Drosophila melanogaster: one gene and its partner. Changing the gene in region 1 together with any one later gene gives a genetic interaction. Each region holds a gene or a part of one and is shown on either strand. Other genes may lie near its edges. The genes, in order: cmet and Ndc80.

Evidence for each region.
Region 2: of cmet (region 1) and Ndc80, changing one enhances a phenotype caused by changing the other (phenotypic enhancement), as found in Drosophila melanogaster (one study listed by BioGRID).

Annotation. Positions count from the first base shown.
Region 1 is NT_033779.5:11,258,719-11,274,325, reverse strand, and holds cmet (CENP-meta), read left to right. Parts: upstream 1-5,323; 5' UTR 5,324-5,479; coding exon 5,480-5,618; intron 5,619-5,693; coding exon 5,694-5,816; intron 5,817-5,873; coding exon 5,874-6,220; intron 6,221-6,273; coding exon 6,274-7,175; intron 7,176-7,279; coding exon 7,280-7,444; intron 7,445-7,768; coding exon 7,769-11,507; intron 11,508-11,574; coding exon 11,575-11,709; intron 11,710-11,765; coding exon 11,766-11,840; intron 11,841-11,896; coding exon 11,897-12,082; intron 12,083-12,145; coding exon 12,146-12,263; intron 12,264-12,321; coding exon 12,322-12,815; intron 12,816-12,871; coding exon 12,872-13,018; 3' UTR 13,019-13,300; downstream 13,301-15,607. Other genes in the region: cana (CENP-ana), read right to left, coding at 1-1,641, 2,793-3,628, 3,682-4,028, 4,086-4,208, 4,284-4,422; ab (abrupt), read right to left, coding at 14,916-15,343, 15,410-15,607.
Region 2 is NC_004354.4:13,605,253-13,620,937, forward strand, and holds Ndc80 (Ndc80), read right to left. Parts: upstream 6,811-15,685; 5' UTR 6,714-6,810; coding exon 6,628-6,713; intron 6,566-6,627; coding exon 6,506-6,565; intron 6,444-6,505; coding exon 6,059-6,443; intron 5,991-6,058; coding exon 4,494-5,990; 3' UTR 4,419-4,493; downstream 1-4,418. Other genes in the region: CG11178 (uncharacterized protein), read left to right, coding at 1,193-2,222, 2,431-2,832, 2,900-3,080, 3,149-3,659; tth (toothrin), read right to left, coding at 9,186-10,167, 10,424-10,728; Tango2 (transport and golgi organization 2), read left to right, coding at 12,182-12,323, 12,562-12,684, 12,850-13,150, 13,345-13,801; CG2691 (uncharacterized protein), read right to left, coding at 14,311-14,413, 14,486-15,020, 15,092-15,282, 15,341-15,603, 15,672-15,685.

The DNA of each region.
Region 1 (15,607 bases):
AGTTTTTTCTGCAGTTCACACACCTTGGACTTCAGATGTGCAAGGGATGTCTTGAGAGTAAGGACTTCCTGAGATTCCTGCTTGTTAGCGGTCTGTACGGTATCTTTAGTCTGCAACTCCTCGCACAATATTTTTGTCTTGGCATTTTGATTTTTTATAGTTTCGATTTGATTCAGGCTGGTAATTTGTGCACGCAAATTGTTAATAACTTCTTTCTCTTCCTCAATTAGATTCTTTTTCCCGTCAACTTCTTGTTTCAGTTGGAAAATGATATCACGCATTCGGTCTTCCTCTTTCACCAAATTCTGTTCCTGATTTATTTTGACAATCTGAAATCTTTGGCATTTCAGAAAGCCTTTAAGGAATACGGAGTCGGATGCATCATGTTGTTTACCATCACCCTCTAAATACTTAGCAGGCTCAAGGCAAAGTTTTAGGCTTGGCACGCTTTGATCCTGTTCGGCATGGTTATATATAAAGAGGCGCCTGCCACCGGAGTAGTCGGTGAGCTCAATCTGTTGGATGGACTTCGACAGCTTGGTGAACTGTTGCAGCAGATCAGTGTCCAATTCGTTTTCCGGATCACTGCACTCAGTGCCTACACCCGAACTCTTCATGGATTCCAAATCGGAGTTCGTTGTTCGTTGCTTGTGCTCCTCTCGGAGTGCATCGCACTCTTGAATAGTACTCATCAATTCGTTGGATAGACATTCGTAATTCAGTTGGATCTCGTCAAACTCCCACTGCAACTTGGAGAGGCGCTTCTTCAGCTCTTGATTTTGTAGCTCCATATCTTCTGGATGAGTATCCGGATTGGGAACTTCTAATAGCTCACTATGGATCTCCTCCACTCGCTCCTTGAGAGTTCCAATCTCGGCTTGCAGTTTAGAATTTTCATCCTGCAGCTGCTGACACTGTTCATCCGATCTGAGTTCCAGATGCCTATACTCGTCCTGCAGCTGTAGGTACTTTTGCTGTATAGTATTGTAGTCAACCTGCATGGTATCAATGGCCAGCTTTTGACTAGACCACTTATGCTTCAGGTTGTTGTACTTTTCCTGCAATTGTCCAAAGTCATCATGCGCTGTGGATATCTGTTCGGAGAGCCGTTTGCAATCAGTGGTCTTTTGTGATACCTCACAGCTTGCATGGCTGAAAGTAGACAGCATACTTTCCAACTTCATACGGGTGGCAGCAATCTCCGATCGCAACTGATCAAACTGGCAGGCGACTGAGTCCAGTCCTGAGGCACTCGCTAGGGGCAGTAGCCGTTCCAACTCCAGGCACTTGTTGCAGATCCGCTCGCAGCTGGACTCAAGCTCGGGGCACATGGATCGCATTTGATCCTCCTTGCTGTTTCGCAACACATCCCGAGATAGCTCCTCAAGGGACTGTTGCAGACTTACTATGGTCGAATCTTTTTCGGAGATGGAGGAGAGAAGTTCTTCCTCCATTTGCTTCGACTTGGCCTTGTGTGTTTCGAATTGCTCCCCTAGATTGACTGCCTTGCCGTTCTCCATCTCCAGCCGCTCAATTGTCTCCTTTAGCCTCTTCACCTGCTCCTCGTACTTCTCGATCGTCTCCTTTGCTACCTGGTTGGATGCAGTAAGCGCAGAGATCTCGGTCTGCGGGGCATCGCAGCTGTAATTGATAGGAAAATTGAGGGATTTGAATGAATACGTAAATTCAGGAACTCCATAAATATACTTTAACTCTATTTATATTTCCAGTGCGCGCATGGCTACGAAAAGCTATTTACTCTGCCTAGCTAAATGGGTGCTGTCTGAGGGAATCCGGCGTTCACAAAAAACCACTAAAAATAGAAGCAGCTGGCGGCATTCAAGTTGAAGTTGCACCAGGCGAGATGTGTGGGTTACGCGAACATGGTCAAAGAAATAGAAGCGTTTTTAAAGATTCAAATCTAAACACCTTTCACAAATTGTTTATTTTCGCAAACGAAACAGAAGTGCAACTGCACTGTGCTATTATTTTGAGCGCAGATCTTTTACCCAAGTCACTCACTCACTCACTCACTTTTTCGGTTTCGGTTAGCCAATCTATATGCGTTACATCACAGTCTATAACGTTGGTGGATCGACAGTAGGGCCGACGTCATCGATCACCCAAGACGATCGGGGGAGGAGCGCGAGAGCGATGGGCGGAGGAAAAGCGTGCTGACTGACGGACAGCGGCAAATACAATGAGCATTGCGGAATTCCAGCGATCAAATTATCAAGAAGTTGGCCAGTTAACTACCTTGTCGATCGGCTGACTGCCTTATCGCGCTTCCAGGGCCACAAAGCGATCGTAGCTGGGGCGTCACATCGCATCCAGCCGAGTCTATTCGCAAAACTGGCTCACAACAGGCGTCGCCTCGCCTCTTTCCGCTCCCGGATTCTCCCCCAGAAATCTTTCCTTCTCGACGGCTATTTGCGTTGGCGTTTGTTTTGTTTTCGATTTCTTCGCGATCGGACTCCCAGTTGAGACAGCTTGCCCTCTTCGCTGCGACTGCTGCGAGAAAGCAAGAAGAGCGAGCGAAGACCGCACGAGAAGACAGCCGAGTAGAAGAGCACGCCGCACTCGTCTCCACCTCGTTTTTAGTTCAGGTGTCAGGTGAGTGCGCGCAAGAGGTGAGTTGGTATGTTCAAAATGCGCAAAATTGCTTACTTAAAGTACTTTTCAAAACGATATAGTCGCGTAGAATACTATGTAGTTTCGTTTGTTTAACTCATTTGAATCTTTTTATAACTCTAGATCTAAAAGTAAAATAAATAATTCATAAATTTACTTACTTCGGCACCGACTCCTGATACTTTTTTGACATCATTACTGAAGGAATTCTGCTAGCTGTCTCTCTTCCCAACTGTTTCGCCCGGCCAGGCATAGTGTCCATATTATCCGTTTGTAACCTTTTCTCCTTTAGGGTTTTACAAATGCCTTTGGCTTTGGGAGCAATCCCCCGCCGCTGAAACAAGGGTTTCGGCAGGTTAGTCAGCTTCGAAGGACGCGGTAGACGGGACTCCTCTGGCTCAGGCAATGCGAGAACAGGAGCGTCGCCTTCTGAGCCTGAGGCGGTTAAAGTCCAAGTACGACGACGCTTCTGGAGGCGATAGTCGTCAAGCGAGGCGCTGGAAACGATCTTCAACATGTCGCGCTTGATGCGACCTTCCAATTCCTGCAATACCAGCTGGCTCTCATTCTTGATCTTCTTCTTAGCAAGCTTATCCTTCAACATACTGATCCCGCGATCAAGTTGCCTCATCATCGTGGTTTCAGAGTCTATCTTGCAGACCTGCGGCTTGCAACGAATTTTTTTGGCACACGTGCCGAAGCTTATAGTGGATGACGACTCCTCCACGAACGATGGCGTAATTGTACAGATGATAGAGGTCAAAACATTTCCACCCAGCGAAGGCAGCATGATGCGCGGAAGTTTCGAATCGCGAAAGCTATTCGGCTTGCTATCTACACTCTCGGAGAGGCTCTTAACCAAGTTGCGAAAAATCATAAGGCTGGATGCGTGGTCCGCGGGGTCCACCTGTTCGGATCCAGCCAGATCCACCAGGCTCAGTACGCTCTGCTTTACGGTGTCGTTATCACTGTGGTCCGACTTTCGGGACTCAATGATCTGTAGAAATAATCTTGCATATTATATGATTAATACAAGAATCTAGCACTCACTATCCTGAAGATGGCGTGCGAACGACTGGACCGCTCGTTCATGTTGGTCTCGCCCACGACGCGCTCCTTGTTGCCCATGTAGAGCTGGCGCAGGAGGTCGTCCTCGCTGGTTACGATGGACTCCTTGCAGTTCACATTCACAATCCCATTGCCGGACTCATGGATCTTGAGGTCCTGATTCTTCTTGTTCAGCAGATCGTAGATCTTCTCGTTGTAGATCTCGATGTAGCCCACGCGCAGCAGAAAGTCCCGCTCCGTCTCACTGGAGATCTGTTGAAAGATCTCCTTGGCGGCTAGCACCATGACGCCCGGATTCTGTTCGTCGCCCATCATGGTGTACGTCTTGCCTGAAATGCATGCCCGGTTTTAGGTATACCGCCGCGTATATATAGCACAGTACCCACCCGACGACGTCTGGCCGTAGGCAAAAATAGTTCCGTTGGAGCCCTGCATGCAGGCGTGCACTATGTGCTTGGCCATCCGGTCGAACACCTCCTGGTTGCTGGCGCCCTCGTCGAACACATAGTCTGCCAAACGGAATGGAATGTAAATGAGATAAAGGTCTTGTAGATCAGGATACGCTCAACGCTCTAACCACTCACCGAAGACATAGGGCTCCGCATGGCTGTCCGCCAACTGGATGGAGCGGCCCTCCTTCACCTGCCAGAGTGAAGTGAGCCCGGGCTCGCAGGGACGCACCTTGATGCAGACCTGGATGGAGCTGGCGTTCTTCGTAGACATCTTTGCGACTTGTGGGAAACGTGTTTGACATGCACAATGAACAGACACAAACAGATTTTAACGTTTTATAAAAGCTAGTTTGATCGACATGTTAGTTTCTCTTTGTAAATTCGAACAAATACCGCTTCGGAAGCGAACCAGATCGAAATACGGAACCAGTAAATAGGCGCGAGCCAGTTCAATTTAAAAGTTTGAGGAGCTTTCGGCGAATATGAAAATATAATCCAATAGGCTTCGAACATAAAACTTTTTCCGAGCTTTTTCGTGATATATAATATAGATTATTATTATCTATATTTCCAAAATAGTAAAGACCGCTAAATTAAATGCTTACTTACAGACAGACAAAAGCTGAGGGGATTGTTTAATGCATACAGAAGAATACTGTCTGATATAAACATGAGATTTCATTGGAATAATAATCCCAGTTGTTCACTATTAAAAAAAATAGGAAAATTGAAAATTTGGAAAATATTATAGTGGTTATATTAGGGAGCTTAGTTATAATTTATTTCAAATATTTGTTTTGGAATCAAATACTTTCCACATTATATGTGTGCTATGAATAGAAGTTATGAATTAGTAGAAAAAATACGAACTTATATGAAATTTAAACCGTAGTTTTCGCATGTATTTAAGAGCTTGTTCTATTTTCTGTTTGACCTTAAAGTATTGAGTCATAGAACTTTGTTAGTTAGCATGCCCTACCAATAAGAACACAACGTCTTAGAATATATATATGCCGTAGCGACCCTTGATCAGGAATGTTAATGCAGCCCTGTGGGATAAGAACATAATGTGTTTCTGTTTTTATTTTTGCAGCCCTATTTGGAACTATGATAACAATCGATGAACCGATTTATCTATCGAGTCGTTAGCGCCACTCGAAGATATCGAAGCATATACATCCCTGATTTTGCAAAGCGGCATTTGTTCGAATTTAACGAGCAACAAAGATGTCGATCAATGTTTGTTTACTGTAAAACATTGAATTTTATGTTTGTTTATGAACTGCGTTCTGTTTATCATAAAGCATTGAGACCAAGAAGGCGCCAAGATGTCTGCGAAGAACGCCAGCTCCATCCAGGTCTGCATCAAGGTGCGTCCCTGCGAGCCCGGGCTCACTTCACTCTGGCAGGTGAAGGAGCGCCGCTCCATCCACTTGGCGGACAGCCATGCGGAGCCCTATGTCTTCGGTGAGTGGTTAGAGCGTTGAGCGTATCCTGATCCACAAGACCTTTATCTCATTTACATTCCATTCCGTTTGGCAGACTATGTGTTCGACGAGGGCGCCAGCAACCAGGAGGTGTTCGACCGGATGGCCAAGCACATAGTGCACGCCTGCATGCAGGGCTTCAACGGAACTATTTTTGCCTACGGCCAGACGTCGTCGGGTGGGTACTGTGCTATATATACGCGGCGGTATACCTAAAACCGGGCATGCATTTCAGGCAAGACGTACACCATGATGGGCGACGAACAGAATCCGGGCGTCATGGTGCTAGCCGCCAAGGAGATCTTTCAACAGATCTCCAGTGAGACGGAGCGGGACTTTCTGCTGCGCGTGGGCTACATCGAGATCTACAACGAGAAGATCTACGATCTGCTGAACAAGAAGAATCAGGACCTCAAGATCCATGAGTCCGGAAATGGGATTGTGAATGTGAACTGCGAGGAGTGCATCATAACCAGCGAGGTTGACCTCCTGCGCCTGCTATGCTTGGGCAATAAGGAGCGCACCGTGGGCGAGACGAACATGAACGAGCGGTCCAGCCGTTCGCATGCCATATTTAAGATAGTAAGTGCAGCCTGCTATTTTCTTTCCGATAATCTGCAACATGTATCCCACAGATCATCGAGTCCCGAAAGTCGGACCACAGCGATGACGACGCAGTGATTCAAAGCGTGTTGAACCTGGTGGATCTGGCTGGGTCAGAGCGGGCGGACCAAACGGGTGCTCGAGGAGCGCGCCTCAAAGAGGGCGGTCATATAAACAAGAGCTTACTTTTTCTCAGTAACGTTATCAAAAGTCTGTCGGAAAACGCGGACAATAGATTTACCAACTACCGCGATTCCAAGCTGACGCGCATTCTGCAGGCTTCTTTGGGCGGCAATGCATTCACATCCATCATTTGCACAATCAAACCATCGATCATGGAAGAGTCGCAGTCTACCCTTAGTTTCGCCACGCGAGCCAAGAAAATTCGCATTAAGCCCCAAGTCAACGAGATGGTATCTGACGCCACAATGATGAAGCGGCTGGAGCGAGAAATAAAGGTGCTTAAGGATAAGCTGGCCGAAGAAGAGCGCAAAAACGAGAACCAGCAAAAGGTAGAGCATCTGGAGAGACAAATAAAACACGACATGCACAAGATAATCTGTGGTCACTCCCTGAGCGACAAGGGTCAGCAGAAGCGTCGCCGTACTTGGTGTCCCACTGCATCGGGATCGCATTTGGAGCTAGCAGAGACCGGCACAACTGAAGATCGAATTGACCAATTTCCAAAGGTCTCACACCTTCCAAAACCAGTGTTTTTTCACACTTCAAATGCAGGCAAACGATGGGACAACATTCCAAAGACCATAAACATTTTGGGTTCCCTGGATATCGGTACCGAGAGCAACTCCATTAGTGAGGAATTTCTCCCGGCAGAATGCATTGATTTTGGCTCCCCTCGCCCAGATGTCCTCAAACCCATGTTGACCATCAGGCAACTGCCAGACCTGCCCCTCACTCCCAAGGGTCCCTTAACGTAAGTACTTCTGCAAGCTTTTTGATCATCCTCCATAACATTCATCACATAACAATCGCATCCACATACCCCGACCCGATCCCTGCACTTATTTGCCTGCACAGAACGGATAAAATCAAGAAGGAAATCCAGGACCTGCAAATGTTCACCAGCTTAGAGAAGCATTTTGAGGTGGAGTGCGAAGAGGTGCAGGGTTTAAAAGAAAAGCTGGCCGAGGTTACAGCACAGCGGGATAATTTAGAGCAAGAATCGTTAGCCGAAAAGGAGCGGTGAGTTAATGAGGTGTTTTCTGTCAAGGAATCTGTCGTCCAAAACATAGTGCCTGCATCGTAAAAAACGATGTAAACGTAACTCGACTTTTGTGCTTTAAGCAGTCAACCCAAAATCTAACATACCTATTCATACAAATCTGTAAAACTAGTGCAGCGATATTCTATTCCATTCTATAAAAACAAAACACTTAAGTATATGTTTCAGTTTTTAACAGTAAATTTTGTTTATAGAACACCACTCCACAATACCTGTTTGTTTGATTTATTTTATTATAGTTTTAGTGTTTAACAATAGTTTACTACTTGTGTATCTTCTTATAGTTATGATGCTCTGGAAAAGGAAGTAACCAGCCTAAGAGCGGATAATGAGGCTGCGAATTCAAAAATCAGCGAATTGGAAGAGAAACTGAGTACTCTAAAGCAGACTATGAGAATAATGGAAGTGGAAAATCAGGTGGCCGTGGGCCTCGAGTTTGAGTTTGAGGCTCACAAGAAATCATCGAAACTTCGCGTGGATGACTTACTCTCTGCCCTTTTAGAAAAGGAGTCGACTATAGAGAGTCTTCAAAAGTCCCTCGACAATTTAACCCGCGATGTCTTACGGAACAGCAAGGAGGGCCACATGCTTTCCATTGCCCCAGAGCAGGAAGACATCGCCGGCGACAGTATATGCAACAAGTGTGAGGAACTGGAGAAGCTGATTGCAGATTTAGAGTCCAAGAAAAATTCATGCGAGTGTGATCAGCTCCGGTTGGAAATCGTCTCTGTTCGCGACAAGTTAGAGAGCGTTGAATCTGCCTTTAACCTGGCAAGCTCGGAGATTATCCAAAAGGCGACTGATTGCGAGCGACTTTCGAAAGAGCTATCCACATCCCAGAATGCCTTTGGACAACTTCAGGAAAGGTACGACGCTCTGGACCAACAGTGGCAAGCTCAACAAGCGGGCATCACAACCCTACATGAAAAGCACGAGCACGTGCAGGAGAAATACCAGAAATTGCAGGAGGAGTATGAGCAGTTAGAAAGCAGGGCAAGAAGTGCCTCCAGCGCTGAGTTTCAACGGCTTCAAAATGACAACACGAAGTTTCAAGCCGATATCGCATCCCTCAATGAACGATTGGAGGAGGCCCAAAACATGCTTACGGAAGTCCAAAACTCTGAATCTACTGTGGAAAAGCTTCGAATACAAAATCACGAACTTACAGCGAAAATCAAAGAACTGGAGACGAACTTTGAAGAGATGCAGCGGGAATACGATTGCCTTTCCAATCAACTGATGGAGAGTGTCCAGGAGAACGATGCCCTGCGAGAGGAGATAAAGCAACGACCCACGAGTCACGTTGAGGAGTCTATGAGGAGTTCCGGTATAAGCTCCGATTTTGACGAACAGAAGCAGGATATAAACCTTCTACACCAGTTTGTTCAGCTTTCTGAGTCCGTCCAACAGATAGAGCTGCAGCATCATTCCGGCATCAGTCGCCTCTTTAGAGCCAACCAAATGAAACTGGATCAGAGCGAGCCAGGACTTAAGCTTTGCCTTGAGTCTGCTGAGTACATCGAGGAAGACAATCGTCAATCCGATGCAACTGAACCTATTTGTCTCAAAGGCTTTCTCAAGCGACACAGATTTCAGATAAAGCGACTTAGCCAGGAACATGTAGATATGGGAGAGGAGAAGCGATTGCTTGATATTATTTCGCAGCTGGAACAGGAAATCGAAGAGAAGAGTGCACTTATGGAGGCAACAGAGGCAACCATCAATGAAATGCGAGAGCAGATGACTAACCTAGAGTCGGCACTCCTCGAAAAGAGCGTTATAATTAACAAGGTTGAGGACTACCAGCGGCAGATCGAGTCCCTGGAAAAACAAAATGCGGAGATGACAATGGTATACGAGGAGCTGCAGGATAGAGTAACAAGGGAGAGCTCGATGAGCGAGAGTCTGCTCCGAGTTCCACCTGACGAGGATACCCTTCCAGGATGCCCTACATCTCCCAGTAGACGAGAACAGGAGGTGGCCACGCTAAAGACATCCATAACAGAATTGCAGTCACAAGTTTCTGATCTAAAAGCAGAACTTGAAAACCATTTAAGGCAGATCCAGTTGAAAGACGGGAACATAGCGAGACTACAGACGGATTTTGAGGAAATGAGTGAGCGCTGCTTATCGATGGAGGTGAGGCTAGCCGAGTTGGATGAGGACACTAAGCAAAAACAAGAACTACTGGATCGTCAGGCGCAGAAGCTCTCCGATGACCTATGCCTTATCGATCAGCTTCAAAAGAAAAACGCGCAGCTCGTTGAACAGTATCATAAAGCGACAGAATCTCTCAGTCTTGCGGATGCAAAGCCGGATCAGATACTACTTTCCTCCCAATATGATAGTCAGATCGAGAAACTTAATCAATTGCTAAATGCAGCCAAAGATGAGCTACACGATGTGCGAAGGATAAAAGATGATGAGATAAGTGCTTTGCGAATGGAGTTCCTGCTCCAAATTGAAACGAATGAGAAAGAGAACCAAGCCAAGTTCTACGCTGAATTGCAGGAGACTAAGGATCGCTATGAGAGCAATGTGGCCGAGTTAAAGGAGAAGCTATTGCAGGTAGAGGAGACACTCTCCAGCGTTACGGTTCGTTGTCAGGCGGAGTTGGAAGCGCTTAAATCTGCTCATAAAGAAAATATTTCTCAGGCTGTGGAGGAAAGAAACAATTTGATTGTCCAGCACCAGGCAGAAATGGAGACTATCAGGGAAACTCTTAAGAATAAGCTAGCTGAGGCTAGCACCCAACAATCAAAAATGGAAGATGCCTTTAGAGCGGAAATAAACGAGGTGAGAGCCACCCTAATGGAGCAATTGAATCAAACGAAAGAAGATCGCGATAAGGGAGCCTCGAAGCTTGAGGAGGTCAAAAAGACACTGGAGCAGATGATAAATGGAGGACGTGTCATGTCAGACACCATTGCTGAGTTGGAGAAAACAAAAGCTGAGCAGGACTTGGCAGTCAATAAATTAACAAAGGACAACATCGAATTAGAGAAGCAGTGCAGTAAGACGCAGGAGCAGTTGCAAATGGAATCGCTTACTCGAGATCAAATCAGTTTCGAAATAGAAGCACATATTAAAAAGCTGGAATTGATTGTGGCCTCTTCAAAGAAAAGGATTATTGAGCTCGAGGAAAAGTGTGACCAGCAGGTTCTGGAATTGGATAAATGTAGGCTCGAGAAGTTGTCCCTGGAATCAGAGATTCAAAAAGCGAATTCAGAGCATTCGTGCACCATGGAAAAACTTCAGGAACTCCAAGCTGAAATGAAAGTTCTAAGCAACCGGAATGAGAAGGAAAAGTGTGATTTCGAAACTAAGCTCGAGACATTTACTTTCAAGATAACCGATCTCGAAGAAGTCCTGAAGGAGGCACAACATAAAGTCATTCTCTATGACGATTTGGTATCGCAGCACGAACGCCTAAAAATCTGTCTTGCCGAGGCAAATGAACTATCATCAAACTTGCAAAAGAAAGTGATGAGCCTGCACACGGAATTGATTGATTCCCAAAAGGGAATATCGAGTCGAGATGTGGAAATTAATGAGCTACGCGAAGAACTGAAGGCCGCTATGGATGCCAAGGCAACCGCGAGTGCCGAACAAATGACTCTGGTAACGCAGCTCAAAGATGTCGAGGAGCGGATGGCAAACCAGGCAGAAAAGTTCACACGTGAGGCGGCTAATCTAAAAGGGTCTATAAACGAGCTCCTCTTGAAGCTCAATTCCATGCAAGAAACTAAAGATATGCTAGAGTCCGGAAATGAAGAACTCAAAGAACAGCTGAGAAATTCCCAAAATCTGCGGAACATGCTGGATGAGGAGAGTAAGATGTGTATCTCCCTAAAAGAAAAATTAGTCAAACTGGAAGATGCAAAAACTAGCCTTGAACAGCAGTTGCGAGACAATAAATCAGAAATATATCAAAGGCACACGGAGCTTACCAAGGAGGTGGAGCTGGGCCGCAACAGAATTGGAGAACTCACAAAGAAGTGTGAGGAGCTGTGCTCTGATCTGGTAAGCTTTTTTCTTAGCGTTATAATTATATGAAATTGTTTTTTTAAACACGAAAATGATCCTAAAGGAAAACTCAGACCAGATACGACTCGATCTGCAAGAAACTAAAGAGCAGTTGAAGAAAACGTTGGAAAATAACCTTGGATGGCAACAGAAGGTTGACGAAGTGACAAGAGAGTGCGAAAAGCTACGATTTGATATGGTAATAGAGGAGCTCACACGATCATTCACAGAAAATTATTCATTGATTTCTTTTAGCAATCCAAAGAGGTGCAAAATGAAAGTAAGGTTCAGGAATTGATAAGCGAGTGCGAAGAGCTCCGGTCAACTCTGGTAAGTGTGATATCCTGTTGCTAGATTTTTAAATGATTTCAAAAAATGATTTTTAGAAATCCAAGGAAGCCAGTTTTCAGTCTGAGAAAGAAAGCATGGACAGAACAATCTCAAGTCTTTTAGAAGACAAACGCAACCTCGAGGAAAAGTTGTGCTCGGCTAACGATATTGTGGCTAAGCTTGAGACGGAAATAGCCGCGTTGCGGCCAAGAAAAAGTCTAGATCGGAACCCAGTGCCGAGGGTAAAACAATGTTTAAACGCCTCTAGCCATAATAGATCTCTAAATGTATTATAATTTTCGCAGAAATCGATTACCTTTGAATCCGAAATACGGAAGAATCGACGAATCAGCGTCCACGATGAGCGACGGCAGTCTTACTGGAACGACGTTCGGGAATTTGGCATCATGACAGATCCCGTTGGTATGAGTAGTTGCAGTGTATTTCCTCTGGTTTTCCCACTCAATGAATTCAATTTCAGACAACAACTGCAACTGTGCGGAGCTGAATTCCAAGCTTCAGGACTGCCAGCGTGAGCTTTTCATTCGTGAAAGTCAAGTGACGGCACTAAAGATGGAGCTGGACCATCATCCGCTGAAGGATGAGAATGCGCAACTAACGAAGCGAGTTATTGAGGAGCAAGACAAGGCAAAGGTTGAGCAGAAACGGCTTAAAATGAAACTTCAAGATCTTAATGCTAGGATTAATGACCTCACTACGGCATCAGCCAAGGAACCAGAATCTAACCAAATGGCACAAGCAGCTAAACCTGCTACCGTAGCCGCTCAAACTCAGACGGAATCCGATCTTGAGACAATCCTTGAGAAAACGAACGTAAAGTATCAGGAAGCGGTTCGCATGTTGCGCTACCGTTACCATCTCATCCAGGAACTGAAAGAGAAACTTAGGCAAAACGAAAACAGTGATACCTCGAATATTACCTCACTCTCAGCTGGACAAACCAGTGCATTGAAGGTTGCTATTTCGAATCGTTACTCAAGTAGTTCTTATATAAAATATTGTTTTTGCAGGCACAGTGTGAGTCCCAAAAGAAGGAAATTTTGGCAATCAAATATAAGTATGAAGCCGCCAAGCGAATTTTGGCGATTCGAAATGATGATTTGGATGCTCTGCGGGAAAAACTCGCGAAATATGAAACAACTACATCAGATAAATAAGTCACTAGGTATTATATTTGTGTACATATGTGTATGTGTTTGGGCTTAGGTTAATTTTGGGTGTCATCAATATGAGTTCATACAGAGTTCCGAGCTATTAGAAATATTGCATTTAATGTGTTGTACTTAAACGTCTCATCCTTGTTAGGTATATATTTTAATTAAATTGTATTCAATATTACCAATTATTAAATGGATCCGCATATTTTGAGTAAAACACACATTGTCTTCATAACGCGGCTTTATTGTAATGTCAATAAATATTTATATAACTTTCTAAGCACATGAATGTCTACTTATATTGCTTATGTAACGACTTTAACTAATATATTTTATTCTAACGTCTTAACCAAATCGCATTAGCCATAAATGCATTTCAAGCCTAAAAATGCAATCTATTGCACTCCGCTTGCGCCAAAATTTGGGCGAGAGTGAGAGGAAAAAGTGTCTAGAACCAAATAAAACTTTAAACCGGGTAATAAAAACTAAAGATACTCTCGTGTTCTTAATTTTTTTTTATTTATATCTCGCTATGCTGTTAGGTGGCTCTTAAGTAAGATTTTTAAAAACACGCATGCCAGTGAAATAAGTTACATATTACAGAGTGCAGTTAAGGACTTACAAATAAATATCCAAGTAAAATACATTTAAATTAATTGAGGTAGAAAATTACTAAATTAACACATATGTTGGTCATAAGGCAAGTTGTATCGACTCTTGTAGAGTCTATGCTCATCTCCGATTGAAGCTAACCATAAACCTAGAATAACTGAGGCATATTCCAACTAAATACATACATTCAGGAAACAAGTAGTTACATCTATCTATGTCTTGCTTGCAGTGCTGCCACATAAACTAACTAGCCTAGTTTAAGTATAAGTATATGCTTATGATTCGCACTGGATATCATTAAGGGGGTTCCACCTTCGAGTGCTGACGACCGAATGCTGAGTATGCTGAGGTATTCAATTCTCTGACAAATAAGTACAGGCATTCATATGTTTTGTATATTTAAGTGTAAATACGTATACCGAGCGTGCACTGTATACCGTATGTTAGTTGTATAAACATTAAATTTCTTGTTTGCTGATCCCCTCGCGATAGGATTCTAAGTCTAAGAGCAGATATCTGCTGCTGAAAATTGGCAAGTTTCATGAAGATGGAGTGCAGGACCAGTCACAACTCATGGAAGTCTGAGGTTCGTTTCGGGGATTCAGCTCTTTCGCTGGCTGAGGTAGTTCGGTTGAGTTGTTCGGATTTGTCCGCAAGTGTTCCTGAGATATGGTAAGCACTGGTATAGACTGGCTAGACTTGGAACTGGAAGGCTGTGGCATGCATGGCACATCTGAATTATCTGCTGGCGTCTGGTACAATACTAATTACGACGGATCGTTTGGGGGCTGCTGTTGGCCTAACATATTCAAGTTTTTCTTTTAATGTATTTACAGGCATCTCTTTCAATGTGAAATCTAACTTAGTACTCTAAGACTACCATTACGTTTTCTTTTTCATGCAGGATGGGTTGTCTGGGGCTCTTTTCATTTCTTCTCCTCATCGACTTGTATACACAGCAGGTACTTGTGTATATAAATTATAAATATACATGTGTATAGCGATATATCTATATATAGAGGTATACTACATATATCTGTAGTAGTAGTAGTAGTAGTTTTAAAAGCACAACATAGAATTCTACTAGGCCAGCTCTGGCAGCGGCACAAATATGATTTTAGTCCTAGGTTTCACTATCGTATTGTATCGTATCGTACACATAAACTGGTATACATGAGGATAAGGCTACTCGTTACATATGTTCCATGGGTAATCGGTATACATTTGTTTATGTTCATGTTCATGTTCATATTCGTGGTTCCCTCGCTGGAGTCTCTTGCTCCTCCTATGTGTTGTGCACTCCCTCATCCTCCGAGTAGTTCTCCTCGGCATCGGAGTTGGCCACCTCATGGTTGCTGCCCGACTGGTTGTTGTCCAGGCCCAGATCCATGGGTTCCGAACCTTCCCGCCGCATGTCGCCATCATTTTCCGCCATTTCATCGTGACCCATCATCCTGCCGCCCGAGTTGAGAGCCAGTGGTCGGTTCGGCGAGAGGTTTCCCGCTGCCTGTTCGTGTCGCATTATCGGCTCAATGGTTAGTCCGGGTCCGCTCTGTCCAAAGGCGGGATTTCCGGCGGCCAGCTTGCTCAGGTCGAATTGTCCGGGAAGAAGGCCCGGCGGCAGGTTGTCCAGACTGTGTCCCATCGCGTTAAGCTGGGCCATCTTGGCGCGCAGTGCTGCTGCAGCGGCCTGCTCCTGGGACATGCCCATGCCTATTGTCGAGGGTGAGGAGACGAATTACTTACTGGAAAAACTTAATATGCAAAGGTAAAACTCACCGAATGTATTCTCCGTGATGAACTGCAGATAGGTGTCCAGCAGGGATTGCCCAGGCGCGTTGCTGTTTGGCAGCTGAACGCCCAAGTCCTTGGGTTGACCAAGAGCAGCTGCAGTGGCCGCCACGGCAGCCGCCTCATTTCGCATCCTGGCGTGACCGAAGTTGCTCAACAGGCTCTCGTGGTAACGGCTCAGGTCGC
Region 2 (15,685 bases), on another chromosome or scaffold:
ATCAATGCACTTTCCAGTTTAAAGTTAAAATATATAATTCATAAACTTTTCAATGAATAAGATCAGGTCAAGCAAACATATTTTGTAAAGAACAAACAAGCGATGTGTGCCAATTTTAGAATCTATATGTTGGATGTTCGATTTAAAAATACGCTCTAACTAAATTAAATGAAATGAAAACAGACCAATTAAAAAAAGCAAAAAAAAATTGGGGAAAAGGAAACAACGGAAAAATCCATAAGAAAAAAGACACATAGAAGAAACCCCAAGATGAAAACAGCAGAAAATATAAAAACGTTTAAGAACAGAGCCATCATACACAGTCTGGCTATATAGTACCTAATGCTCCGTCTACTATATGTATAGTATTACACGTTTATTTTCAGAATTTGTTTTTGACTTAATTTTCGGCTTGTTGACACTTGGAAATGTGTATCAGTAGTCAAGCCAACAAAATCGCGACTAAAACCAAAATGTTACAACTATTTCAACATACTCGTAATGATAGTTTCGATTTTGGTAAGTTGGATGATGCTTACGGGTATTTTTGTATAAAAGTAAATACATTTTTTTACCATGCATTAATTCTGATCTCGTGAAACTTGTAACTTCACTCATTAAAATCAAAAAATTTAATTATCCTTTTTTTCTGAATAGTATTTTATCTTGTATTTAAAGTAAATATATTTCTTGTATTGTTTCTTAATAAAGATTAATGAGATACAAAAACAAATTACACTGTGAAGTTTTATTTTCGTTCATATTAGCGTGATTCTAATTCTTCAATGGTTATTTCAAATTCAAAAGTAACCGCCAATTTTCGTACTGGTGTAGTCGATAATGCCGTTGGTCGAAGCGAAACATATCGATAACCGGCAAATGCACATCTAATTGGAGTACAAAATAACGCCTCCTGATATCGATACGCTATCACAAACAAGAAAATAGAATAAAAACAAAATCGCTTGGAAATCGTAAAGAAAGAAAGTTAAATACGACAGATAGATAATTGCAACACAAAATAAGTGCGCCGTGGTCCGAATAGAACAACAATTGCGTGGCGTGGTTACACGAGTGCGAGCGAGAGGGCCGATGTGGTAGTGGCCAATCCAATTGGATATTCATTTTGCAGGCAAAAAACGCATTTTTTGTGGACACCGCTTGCTCCTTGGTACAAGGATAACGACCAACGATGGCCAGCGAGCCGGAGAACAAGCCACCGATCCTGCACATCCTCGTGGTGGGCTTCCACCACAAGCTGGGCTGCCAGGTGGAGTTCTCGCATCCGCCGCTAATCTCGGGCTCCACGGGACGCAACGAATGCCCCTCCGGCTGGAAGTACCTGCCCACTCTGGCTCTGCCCGACGGCTCGCATAACTTTGCCGAGGACACGGTGTTCTTCAACCTGCCCAGTTTGTATGAGCCGGCTGAGAGTATCTACGGCGTGTCCTGCTATCGCCAGATACGCGTGGAGAAGCTAAAGATCCGGACAGCGGACCTCACGCGCAGCACCGTTCAGAAGTCCGTTTGCATATTGGCCCGCCTGCCCATCTACGGGTACATCGAGGTGAAGCTAGCCCTCATTGCCGATGCCTTTTTCGATCAGGGCGACTTCTCCGGCACGGAACTGCTGGCCAAGGCCTATCAGCAGCTAAATGCCTGCCTCCAGGACGACGAGTCGCGCCGCCCGTTGCGCCACTTTCACGTGGGGCTGTCGCTGCGCGAGATCGTACTCCACTGGCGCCACAAGACGCTAATGCTCTTCAAACTAATGCTGCTGCAGCGACGAGTGGTGTGTTTCGGTTCGCCCGTACGCCAAATGTGTGTGCTGATCCTGGGCATGGCATCGCTGGTGCCGCGGCTGCTGGAGAAGGGCTTCCAGGAGGTGGCCTGTGTGCGCACGTCGCGTCCCCTGTCGCCCATGCCGGATTTCACTGACTCCCTGCAGCGGGAGGCGCAGGCCGAAGCCGAAGCGGAACTGGAGGCAGTGGCTTCCGTAGCAGCTGCCACCGATGAGCAGAAACTGACGCCCGAGAGCGCCACAGCGGTGGAGGGCGAGGCCGAAGAGCTGGCCCTCGTCTCATCCGCAGCGTCGGCGGGCGAGGAGCAGGTCAGTGGCGATGACACGTCGACGCGTTCCACGCCCAACTCACAGTCGCAGGACTCATCGAACGGCAGGAACAGCTCGCTGACCAGAGAGGCCAGCGTGGACACACTAGCGTGTGAGTAGCCCAAGAAGTCTATCCCCGTGTTTGGCGTAACTAGCAGATTTAGGCACATTTTAGTCAATTGTAACCTTTGTTATTGCGTTTATTCTTATACATATCATGCCATATAAGTGAATCATTCTAGATAGGAGATAGGAGCGTGCAGACATTAAATATTACGTATGACGCAGTTAACTGATCCGTGTAAATGTTTCGTCCATAGCCAACCTCGCCGCCTTGTGCGCTGTCAATCCGGATGAGTATCGGGCACCGGTCAGCATCTTCGCCAGCGGCAACCTCTGCCTGCCGTATCTGTCGCTACCGTACATGGACCTGCTCAGCGATCCCATGGTGCTCTCCTATGTCATCGGCACCTCCAACGTGCTTTTCCAGCAGAAACGTCAGCTGGCTGACGTCCTGGTGGACATCGAGGCGGCCAATCTGGATGCCCACGATCCGGAGCTCAGGCGTCAGCTGGTGCTGAGCACCGAGGATCTGCGCTACATGGACTACATCATGAAGCATGTGCAATCGCCAAAGGAGGATGCCGAGGGCAGCGAGTACTGGATACGGGAGCAGTTTCAGGGCTATATTCTCGCACTCTTGCGAACTGCTGTGGCTCCAGGTGTGTGCAATCTTTGTTAGCTTTTAGTTGAACCATCAAATGTAAATGTAAATTTGTTTGTTTACAGATGCCACGCCAAAGGACAACGATCATTTCAATGCGCACTTCATGGGCGCCTTCAAGCGCACCCAATGCTTTCAGGAATGGTACGACGTTAGGCCCGAACCCGAGTTCTTTGAGGCCCTGCCCGCTGGTCATCCCTTCGCCGGCACCTTGTCCGTGGCGGACATGAAACTAAAACTAGCACAGTAAGCGGTTAAAATCCTGAAATCCATACCGAAGGGGAACTAAGTTTCTAAACACTTGAAATTTGCAGAACCATGCAAAATAGCGAGAGTGGGCGAAAAATCAACCAGGCGGTAAACACGACGAGTCGTGCAGTGGGCGGTGCCATATCCCAGGCCAAGGGCGCCTTCTCCAGCTGGTGGTCATCCATCACGACGGCCCCGCCCAATGCAACAAATGCAGGGCCTGCGACCAGCAGCTCGAATGGGCAGGAAGGGGATGTAAGCGAAGGAGCTGCAGCCCAAGAGATCTCAGTTACATTCCAGAATCATAAGGACGTCGAAGACCTTGACGTGGCGGGAGTCAGCATCCACCTGGCTGGCCAGGAAGAGGCACACGAGTCGCACGAGTCACAGAGCGTCAGCTGCGACAAGCCGCAAGGCATCGTCGAGATTGGACGCGAGGCGGAGCTGTTGGACAAAACTGCGCAATCGGAGGAGCCCAAGATTGCGGCTGCAAGCCAAGCCGGTCGGCCAGGATGTGGCGGCGATGTGGCCACCTCGGCCGTGGAGCGCAGCAGTGGCGATGTCTTCATTGTCTGAGGACGTTAGCACTATCGGGGTCATTGTATAGAATTGAACTAAGCTAAATGATATTTATTTATTACACAACATATTGTCTCAGTCTCAATGTTGAATTTATAACTACTACTCGAACTTCCCCCCTATTTTTTTGTATACCCATACATATTCTGTAGTTGGTTGACTTGTGGTACACAGAAACCTAGGATTTATGATCGAGCGACAATATACTATGAGATACATCACTACTAATTGAAATAATACCTCATTTTCGTTTATTTTAAGCCCAAAAATGACAAAATATATATCTACGAATACGAAAAAAGCGCACACAAATGAAATATCCAAATTAATTAATTTAATAGCAATAAATGCAAACGTTTCCCTGCAACTTTTTTGTGGCACAAGTCAATCGCACGCTAAACTACACAAAATTGGCCAAATGATAATATTATTTAATATTTATAGATACCTACGCTTAAGTTACCCTTGCCGTATTTACCCACCACTCAGTGTATACATATGTATAACCATGTAAAGCTAAACCGTTCCAAGTGCAATTTGTAATCCCAAAAAAGGCAGCGGAGATCCGTAATGAAATCCGTAATACGTGTGGCAATAAAGAACTTAAGAAATCTGATATTATGGAGTATCATCCCCTCCTTTGTCCAGGAACCGCTGTGTTCAACTCAATTTACCTAATTCAAATGTAATCAAAAATAAATGCATTTCATAAAACATAAAACATTGAACATTGCAGACAGCTTCATTGTCTTTTTTAATTTGAAAACAAAGAATACTCTTTAATAAATTCCTTACAGATCAACTGGACTACAACAAAACATCCGGATCAAATCAATGATTCTTGATGGCATCTAGCACGGGCTGAAAGGATGGCAGCTTGGCGGAGTACACCTTTTGCTCCACCTCGTTCAGCTTGGCCTGAGTCGCGTTGACCTTTGATTCCACGGCGAGCAGCTGGTCCTCCGCTTTGGCCAGCTTCTGCTCGCATTTTTCCAGGCGATCTTGGCGGGCCTTGAGATCCTGCTCCTGAAACTGCTCAGCAGCGGTGAGTAGATCCTCGTTCCGTTGCTTGCTGGCTTCCAGCTTTTCCAGCGCCTGCTTCTCCCTCTTCTCCAACTCATCCAGACGGGCGGTCTGGTCGTACTGATCCTCGAGCAGCTGTTGCCTGTGCTGCGCCTGCATGTCGCGCTTGGTCCGATAACTGGCCTCCATTTTGGTCAGACGCTGTTTCTGCGCCCGCAACTGAGAGTCCATGGTGGCGATTTCGGTGTCTAACTCGATGGAATCAGACTTTACCTTGGCCACCTGCTTGTCCAACATCTGACGCCGATCGATATTCTGCTGGCGGTGCTGTTGCAGAAGTTTGCCCAGCAACTCCAGGCACTGCACCCTCTCCGAGATGTCCTCTTGATTGGGATTTAGTGGCAGAGTAAGGTCCGATTGCTGGCCAATGCCGCTCTTTATCAGGCCACAAATCACCGGGTCCATGCTCAGGTGGCGCACGTGCGAGTTAAAGACCTCAACGGAATCCAGTTGCTTTTGCTTGGCGCGCGACAGCATCACCTGCTGATGCAGCTCCAGCTCGGACACCTCCTTCACCTGGCGCTCATAAGCCTTGGAGTAGTTTTCCATATCGTCGCACTTCATTTGAAGCTCCTTTAGCTGCTGGGCGGAGAACTTCTGCCTGTTAACCGCCTGCTCCAGACGCTTTTCATACTTCATTTGCTGGCGGAGATTAGACTGTTTTTCTTCTACCTGGGCAGACAGCTGTTCGTATAACTTCAGTTTCTTGATCAGCTCCTCTTCACTGGCAGCTAGCTGTTGGGCAAGCTGATCGTGCTCTTTGGTAAGACGTTCCAGTTTGTTCAGTTTATTGTCTTCACTGGGATCATGCAACTTATTCTCCAGTTGCTGTAGTTTCGTCTTCAGATCGCCGATTAGCTGGTCTAAGGCTTTGCGATCGGGCAAATCACACTTCTTGCTGATCACCTGATCCCTGGTCTCCGCCTGCAGCTTGGCCTCCTCATTGGTAAGCTCCTGATCCCACAAGGCAATGCATTTGCTAGCCTCTTCGAAGAGCAGACCATTGACGTCTTCATCTAGCTGAATGGCGTGCGCCTGTGTGGTGGACATGATGGTCGTCGACTCGCAGTGCATGCTATTCAGATACGAGCTGGGCTGCTCCATGGTTTCCATAAACGGAAACTCCTCCTCCACCACATCCGACGAGGGCAGAGGCGGTAAAAAGTCCATGAGAAAGTCCAGCAGAACGATCACATGGCCGAATGAATGCTGTGTTGTTGGCGATACAAGCCATGATTTGTTCACCTGCAAGTCACAAGTGGATTTAAGAATTAAACGAACACTGGAAACCTAAGAGCATCCGAGTTGCTTACCTGATAAGGATACTGTAGCTTTTGCATTGCGCTGGTAATATCCTCGACATGGTTCTGGCCCACTGTCACGCGATTTCGCCAGATGTGGTGGAACATAAAGTTGAGAATGGAAACAAATTGCTTGATGGTCATGTGTCGCAAACCCCCGGGCCGACTGAATAGATCCGCAATAAGTCCAGTGGGCGCCTCGCTGTTCTGAATGCCATGTAGGTATTCCAGGATCTGCTGTGCCCTCTCCGCCACCCATTTCTTGTCGGAGTGTGGCGCAATGGCGCGCTCCGCAGTGGAGGGCACAAACCGGTGGCCTCGCTTGGGCGTCACGCCCATTTGACTGGCCCGATCGCGCTCCAAGTTCAGCGGCTGCGGCAGACGCGATGCGGACGGCCTATGCGGATTGGATTCAAACATTACTGGTTGTGCCTTCGATAATCAAATGGTTGTGCATACCTTCTGGGTGCCGCCTGGCTGGAGGACGGAGTGTGCGTGGCTGCGCTCCGCTTTGTTGCCCTGGAAAAGGATACGCATTTGCATCGTTGACAAGATTTGATCAGTTGGATTTCGATGCTCACCTGGTTTGCCGCTTATCGGCAGTGCCTCGCTCCTCCAGTACATCGCCACGGAACTCGCTGGTCCGCCGGGGCATCAGGTGCGACATCTTGGCGTTATTGAAACTACGTTGATTAAATTAAATGTTTACTCAGTTTGATTGGGAATCGCGCGTCGTTTAACGCCTGTTATCGGCAAATCGATAGTTTCCAGGGATGCAGTCGCGATTGACACCCTAGTGTTACTAAACCATCTGGCAGCACTGCCAAATAAAAAGTGCGCCATTTACTTAAAAATTCTGATTACTTTAGGATCATGCCACCAAAACGGAACAAAAAAGCAGAGGTACGATTGAAATACTACATTATTTCAATAGCTAAATGCATTTCCAAACGATTCTACAGGCGCCAATCGCTGAGCGGGATGCAGGCGAAGAGCTGGATCCCAATGCGCCGGTGCTCTACGTAGAGCACTGCCGATCCTGACGAGTCTTTCGTCGTCGAGCGGAGGAGCTGCACTCCGCTCTCCGGGAGCGTGGTCTCCAACAGCTTCAGCTCCAGCTGAATGCACTTGGAGCACCACGGCGAGGAGCCTTCGAGTTAAGTTTGAGCGCCGGCGGAATGGGAAAGCAGGAGCAGGTGGCACTTTGGTCGGGTCTAAAGCGGGGTCCACCACGTGCTCGCAAGTTTCCCACTGTGGAGGAGGTATACGATCGGATTGTAGGGATTCTAGGTGACCAGCAGGAGTCCAAGGAACAGATCAACACGCAGAAGTTATCTAAAATTGATTTACCGGGGTCCGAGGCTCTAGCATCGCCAAAGAAGTCGGAGTCCACAGAGGAAGCACAGGAAAACGAGGTAGGGAAGGCCCAATAAGTCCAGAAAAAATTAACTAAATATTGTTTTTATCAAAAACGAAGGCACCAACTTCAACTTCAACTTCGCGTAAATCCAAAAAGGAACAGAAATCCGAGGAAGAGCCAACTCAAGTCGATTCAAAGGAAGCGAAGCAATCCAAAGAGTTGGTCAAAACGAAGAGACAACCGAAAGCCCAAAAGAAGCAGGCAAAGGCATCCGAATCCCAAGAAGAAGTTGCCGAAGATAAGCCCCCTAGCAGCCAGAAACGGAAGCGGACCACCAGATCCTCCACAGACGAGGCTACTGCCGGTGCCAAGCGGAGGAGGTAGTTGTGCCCAAAACAAAGCGTTCAGCAATAGAGCCCTATGATCGATGATTGGCAAATCCTCTCGAGGAACCGATCGTTGAGAACCCCTTTGCCTTTGTTGATCGCTCAATTTTGGATCAAAAACTACATACATGAAAAATACTCGAGCATTGTTATTACAAAATATATTAAAACATCTTAGAAACCTATTTCCATTTTTGTTTTTTTTTTTCATTCTCTTGTGGTTCATTTTTGTCTGATTTTTTGCCTCTCATTCGTTAAAATTTTGTGGACTTTGATTTTTCTTCCAAAATGTACATGTTTTCCTTTTTTGATCTTATTTCAATTTTGTCCCTTCTTAGTTAGTTAAAATTTGTTTTCGTTTTTAGCTCAGCTTAATAATTATGATCCTAGAGAAAAAATTTTGGTTTTACGAAATTGTTTTTACTTTTAGCTTCTTCTAATGCTAGAGATACCCTACCACTTGCCTAAATAGATTACAATCTGAATTGTCTCTTTTTTAACTAAAATTTTGGTTAAATAAAAAAAATTGAATATAATATGTGGGGAGGGGTGGGGAGCTAGGTGAAATAGTATTAAGAACATGCAGCAACAGAAACCGAGAGATTGCGATTAGGTGGAGAGCCAGTCCAAAAGGTGGACTTGCCTTAAGTAGAGTCGCAAATACAATGCATGCAAGTATGTATATATATATATATGTATATAATGTCTGTACACCCATATATATAATGTACAATATAATGCAATGGTCTGGCGAACTGCTCTAAGCAAAACTTCGGAAACCAGATGTGAAATATAGTCGTGTATTGCAAAACTATACATAGTTCAAATTGTGCTGTTTCACTTATGGCATAGATGATGCCCGAAAATAATTGATTACGAATTGCCTAACGATGACGAAAAAGGTTCTTTTTAAATTCATTGTCTAACTTATACAACGTTAATAATTGATGGCCTAAAGGGTTTCCTACATTACAAAATTGCTCGAAGAATATTTGCTACATCCATAAGTTTCCGCTCAAGTTATCCTATAGTAGAAGTTCACCAGTCCATTGCTAGTTTAAAAAACAACAATCAATTGGCTATGGGAACGTAAAGTTAAGAGAGGCGAAACATTGGAATTGTATTGGCTACGGCCTGGTGCGCGGTTCTGATCGTTATCCTGATTCTAATCCTGTTTCTGTCCCTGGTCCACAATGTATTTGTTTCCTTTCTTTCATTTCTTGCTTGGCTTTTATCCTTTTGTCGGAGGGGGGCAACAAACAGTGATCAACTAAGGCTTAAAAACTATATTTAAATTATGTGCGAAAAAGTAGGTCGATTCAATAGGCGAGAAAACATTGCGAAAAACAAGGCTTTGATTGATTACACGTCCAGTTAGTTGCTGATAGAGCGGTTACAGATACTTCCGATAGTTGCGCAGATGGGCGTTCGCGTCCTCGACCACGCCCACCGCAGCAGCGGCACTCTCGAAGGATGGTGGCTCGATGACCATGCCGGGACTTGTCGGATCGCAAGACGCTCCAACGGCGCTATTTGGCCCCTTGGCTCGTCGCCTGCCACGTGTTCCCGCTCCCCGCGATCTGCGGCTGTTGGCCGAAGCTCCCGATGCTCCTCCTCCGCCGCCGGATCCCGAAACTCCCGCTAAGCCTGCTCCCAGGCTGCCGCTTAGGATGCCTCCGCTGGAGATTGGTCCTCCATTGCTGCCTGGCACACTCTCGCCAGATTCAATGGCCTCCAGCGATGCGTCCAGCGCCGCATCCGTCGTTGTGATACGCGACCTGGCCGCTGCACTGCGTCTCCGCGAGCTGGAGCTACCGCCGGAATTGCCGCCACCGCCGGCGCCTCCTCCACCACCACCGCCGCCGGAATCTCCACCTCGCTTGCCTGGTCGCCGCTTGCGCCTTTTTTTGTTACCATAGCGCGGATCATAATCGTACTCATCATCCGCCGGCGATTTGGGCTCCTCCAGCGAGTCCACATCGTTCATATCCATGTCATCGTAGAACCACTCCTTGGGCAAAAGCTCCTCTTTGACGGCCTGCTGCTGGTGCTGGTGCTGCTGATGTTGTTGCTGTTGACTGTCCTTGCTGTCGGATGTATCACCGCCGGCGGCACCCAGCGAGCTGGACTCCTCCAGGCTGAAGGCTCCATTAAAATCGTGGGCAGTGTCACTGTGCAGGGAACCAAGTACGGCCGGCGCGGCTCCGCCGCCCGTAAGCATATTGAGCGTTAGGGAGGAGCTGCTGGCCAGGCTATTGCTGCCGGGCATGGAGCCCACACCGCTGGTCAGGCTGCTCAGTCCCAGATTGACGCCGCTGGCCACCAGAGCTTCGTGCTCCTTGCGTAGCGCCTGGAAGGGACGCTCGGGAAAGCGGCTGTATAAGTGGAAAGTTCGTTATTAGCAGGGATAAATATGGAGCTCACCCAACGAAAAATGTAGGATTTGATGAGATTGAATGGCATATACACAGATGATATTCTTCTAACCTAACTCGTTTTAAATAAGATTACCATAGGTAACAGACTCCTAGATTTCCAAGCTCTAATTTGCTTCGCCAGAGTTATACCTAACTTTTCCTTGTGCATGTGCCAGTCACTCAAATCCCGCACCGATTGGTTACGATTCCTCACCTGTACATCTTGCTCAAGTACTGACGACGGCTCTTCCGCCAGCGGGCCGCCGGATACGTGTAGATCTGGCCCTGCCGGAAGCCGGGCATCCGCTGTCGCTTGTCCAGGAAGAGCTGCGAGTGGTTCTGGGCGACGCCTGTCTGCGGATCGAGGAAGGGCAGCCGGTGGCGCCGTTCGCTGCACAGGCGCGTGTTGAAGTTGGCACTGTACTCGATCGTCTCCCGGTAGCTGACATCCTTCAGGAAGCTCTCGATCTTGGCCAGATTCGGCATAGAGACGATCTGGATGTTAACGGCGGAGGACATGGCTGTTCCTGGTCCTAATCCCACTGTTGGCTAACCTCAGAGTCCGGCTGTGCCGCTAATCCATCCCAGAGTCTTGGCAATTTCCGCTCCGCTCCGCCCCGTTTCTTATCGCAATTTTTTTCCAGTGTGTTGTGTTCCGTTTCTTATCGCTTTTCGCTGCCTGTTTTTTTTATTCTTCTTCGTCTTCCACCTCTCCTCTCGACCGACACATACACGCACGCACACACACACACACGCAAAGCTCTCTATCGATGTGACCCCGCGCCAGGGGGCGTGGGCGGCAGTGGGCGTGGCGAGGGCGATACGTTTAGATCGCGATCTGCGGCCGGATTTTCCAATTGTTTAATTGATCAGAAATATTAACGTCGTTTTCACTGCTCTGCTGAATGCCAGTGTTACCAGATGGCGACATGATTTTCCCCCCAAATGTTCTCGACCGACCGGTATTTTTGTCCTAAAAAATCCACTCTTTCGCTTTAATTTTAGCGATCAGTTTTCTTACCAATTTAAGGGCCTGTATAGGTCTGTTAGTTAATTTATGCATTGCAGTGCATAGCTATGTAATGGTATTTTCTAGTTTTAATTACAAGCCTATGTTACAGGGTTTTTGGTTAGTTTTCAAACATCGATAAGTTGTAAGCCAATCGATTGCCGGGCCCACGGTCATACAATAGAGATGGGCAACTGGCGATAATGCCTACCTACCTGTTACGCCAATTTCAAAATAGTAGTTTGTTATCTGGATCGGCACAGGCGACAAAAAAAACTAATATGTTTATATATACGTTATATATGGCTTTGGAAATAAATTACACAATCATATTGGTCAATCATTGTTTCAGCGCACGATGAGGAACTAAAATCTTCAAATTTAAAAGTACAAATTAAGATAAGTCATAGACTGCACAAATAAATAATTAGCAATTAATAAAATAGCTAAAAGAATATTGCACAGGGCAGCAGAGTGTTAACGATTTTCTTATCGATTCTCCTGTCAGCTGGCAACGCCAAAACAAAACAAAAACAAAATTAAAAGAGAAATCAAAACAAGGCAACCCGGTCATTGAAATTTCAGAAAATACTGCTTTGTTTGCGTTAACGGGAATGCTTTTTGCCCCGTAGATATGTATATATCACATAGAGGCACGGCTCACAGAGAACACCCACCAATCCAAACCATTTACATTTACCACTTAGATTAGCTGGTCTCGCAAACAACGGATAAGACTGTATATCAGCTGTACGTACGTACGGCTATTTGGTGATAAAACCGGCGCTATAGTTCCACTGCCACAAAGTAACAAAGAGAAGACTGAGCCGAACAACCTGCCATTTTGATACCGACGCCCCACCGAGATTAAAGCCCACTTTTCCGGATCCCATTCGCAGTTGTCCCACAACCTCAAGGCACTACAAATCGCAACAATAGCCAAATAAGTATAGGATTCCGACGATGTGCGTGATATTCTTTTGTGCGGACTCGAATCCGCAACCGGGTGGCTACAAGCTCATCCTGGCCTCCAATCGGGACGAGTTCTTTGCCCGCGCCACCCTATCGGCAGCCAAGTGGGCGAATGCCGATCATGTTTACGGAGGTAAGTGGTGGGGCTTATGCCCTTGAATGCCTATGCTTAGATGGAGTATAATCCTTGAGAGCTTGTATTCATCAAGATGTTACCTATAGTTTAGTCACTAAGATGATTTGATAGCAGTTTGTTAGAATGAACACCTCTCACAAGATCTGTTTCCCAGCAACCTAATTGGATTTCAAGCCATCTTACCCATGAGTGCGGGATCAACTTGAGTAAATATTTATGTATTCCCCCATTTCAGGGATCGATCTGGAGCCGGGACGCGAGGGCGGCACCTGGCTGGCGATCGGCCACTCCGCTGGCTTCTTTAAGGTGGGCGCCCTGCTCAATCTGACCGGCGAGCCCAAGCCACGCGATGCAGTTGGTAAACCCATTTGAGCTACTTACTAATCCAAATTGACGCGCACACACACGCACACACACTCATCCATACACCTAACACTTGGCCCGAACTAAAACTTTCACAACCGCGACCAAAGAAAAAGCAAAGCAAAAACAAACTTTCTTCGTTTCTGTTTTCTGTTTGAAGCGCACAAAAACATTTTGCAACCGCATAATCACAACAGCAACAGCACCGGCATTAACCTTTGCCCCAAGACCACCACCTCCAACAGCTACCGTCATCCGAATCCGAATCCAATTCAGAACCCGAATACGAATCCGAGTAGGGGGCAATCGAATAACGAACATTTCTTACTAGGGCGCGGCATGATTGTGGCGGACTATGTTACCCGGGCGGACGAGGAGCACAGCATCCTGAACTACAACGAAAGGCTGCTCAAAGATTGCACCAAGTATTCTGCCTTCAACTTTGTGTCCATCGAAATTGGGTGAGTCTGCGCCCATTCAGGTTAACCTGAATTATTATATATTCTAATTATATGCATATTAGTATGTACATATATTGCTTTATGCTGTCTTTATCTCCGAATTATACGTATAAATTCTGAATAATATGCAATAACATTAGGGAACCATTAGCGAAACATTGATACCATCTACTGCACGCCTTCGTTCTCAACAGATCTGCATCCCAGCCCGCTCGCGTGAAGCTGCTGAGCAATGTGCCGCCCACGCTGGAGGATTTCCAGAACGGCGAGTGCTACGGATTTGGCAACAGTCTGCCGCACTCTCCGTTCGAGAAGGTGCGTCATGGCAAACAGGAGTTCGAGGCGATCGTTAAGGCTCATGGGGAAGCCAGCGTGGAGACTCTGTCCGCCCAGCTGATGCAGTTGCTCCGCAACAAGCACAAATTCTGGCCGGACGACGAGCTAAAGACACGTGCGCCCAACTGGGGCGAGGGATTGAGTTCCCTAAACGTCCATATCGAAGAGCATGCCTATGGCAGCCGTACACACTCCGTTGTCCTGGTGGACAGCGAGAATAAGATGCACTTCATTGAGGAGACAATGACTGGATTGGATCCGCACGGCGAATGGAACAAGACCCACATTGAAAAGGATTTTCAAAACGGCGTTTGACCACGGACAGGATGACGCAACTTCTTGACGCAACTATCTCGTTCGAAGACTTTCCTCTTTTGTAGAATAACCTAATTGGCTAATATTCTACCAATCTGTATTTTGACTCTGGCATTTGCGATAATAAATAGTCATATTTACTATATCTTTAAAGAACATAAAGCTTGTGTGGATTTAATCTAACGTTACTGCTCTTCTTTCTGCCACGCATCGAACTATGTTGCTTTCAAAATTCTTTATTCAAAGTCTTTGCAGATCAAAACAAAAAAAAAAAAAAATACATAACTATTCTGTTTCTGTTTTTCTTTATCTGTGGCATTTACAACGTCTCCACATGTTCATATATATATATTAAGTTATATTTATATATTTAAGCAAAGTAACAGGGGAAATAATCATCAACGTCTTAGCTTCCTTATCAACAGACCGCACTATCCCAGTGTTATTATACATCTCTATATCTCTATAGCTTTACGAGCCTGTTAGCCAGTTGGCTTGAATCGTCTGCCCTATTTGTATTTCTTGGACACCCGGCCACCGCCGGCTCCTCCATTTTCAGCGCCAGCTCCTCGCAATACGCTCTTGAATTTTCGCGAATTCATTGAACGTTTTCTGGGGGCGAAAGAGATGGAGTATTAGATAGGGACGGGTATATTAATAATATTAAACATTTTGGATACACACCTCTTGTTCAGGTTATTCCTAGTGAGTGGTATATACGCATATGGATCCAGTTTTCCGCTCTTCTTCATATCACCCTTGGCCTTCTTGCTGCCGTACTCACTGCCCGCTGGGCGGCTGGTGGATTTGCCTGACTTCACGGACATGGCATCCGAGTTTCCAGCTGTCAGCTGTCGATGAATGCCCTTGCCACCGGCAGTGTAGCGACTACTGGCAGTGGTTTTGCCCGATTTCATGCTCATCGCATCATCACCCTTGCGTACACGCTTGGGTACTAGCTTCTGCTGCAGTTTATCTTCGTCGCTCGAATCGTCTTCCATGCCACGCTTAACCTTGGGCTGCTTGGCTACAGTGCCATACGCCATGGATGCATCGGAATCCGAGTCGTCATCGGACTGATCGTTACCGCCCTGGCCACGAAGTGCCTTGTCGCTGATGATCAGGCGTCCATCGTCGGCAGTCTTGAAGCCACCGTTCGGCAGCTGAGCTTTCGTCTTTTGACTCTGGGCAGGGGTGGCCGTTTGAGCGGAGCCACTGGCTGGAGTGGGGCAAAGGCAAAGAAACAAAAAAAGTGATGATTTGTGCGATTTTCAAACGACTTCAACTTACTCAGCACATTGCCAATGGACTTGAGATCGGCCAAATCGACTATCTCATCGGGATCCTCGCGAATGTAAGTGCTCTTCTGTTGCTTAGCATTCTTGCTACGCTTGCTAGCTGCGGCTGCAGCTCCGGCCTCATCCTTAGCGTCCATATCTTCGGGCAGATCCGAATCGGAGTCAGCTAGCATATCATCAATGCTGTGGAAGGGATTTTTTTTAGTTATTTGGGTAATTACTGTGTATGAAAAACGCTTACGTGTAGCTCTTTTCCTGCAGACCGCTGACCAGCTCATCATCGGAGCTATCCTCCTGCGCTTCCAAGTTCTGTTTCTTGCGCAAATCCCTGCGCGTACGCTTGCGGATCATCTTCAGCCGGCGATGGATTACATCGTCATCGCCGGGAACGAAGCCGGCCAGCTCCCCGGGGCTAAAACGAATGCAGAGCTTCTTAAGCAAATAACCGATCTGGATGCGGCAGTATCGCTTCGTATCCTTGGTCATGGCCGACAAGGAACGCATCTAAAGGAGGGGAAAGAACTAATTATTCGGTTCAAGTGCCTAATTTAAATGTCGGCGGATGTGCTCACAATTGCCTCCAGGT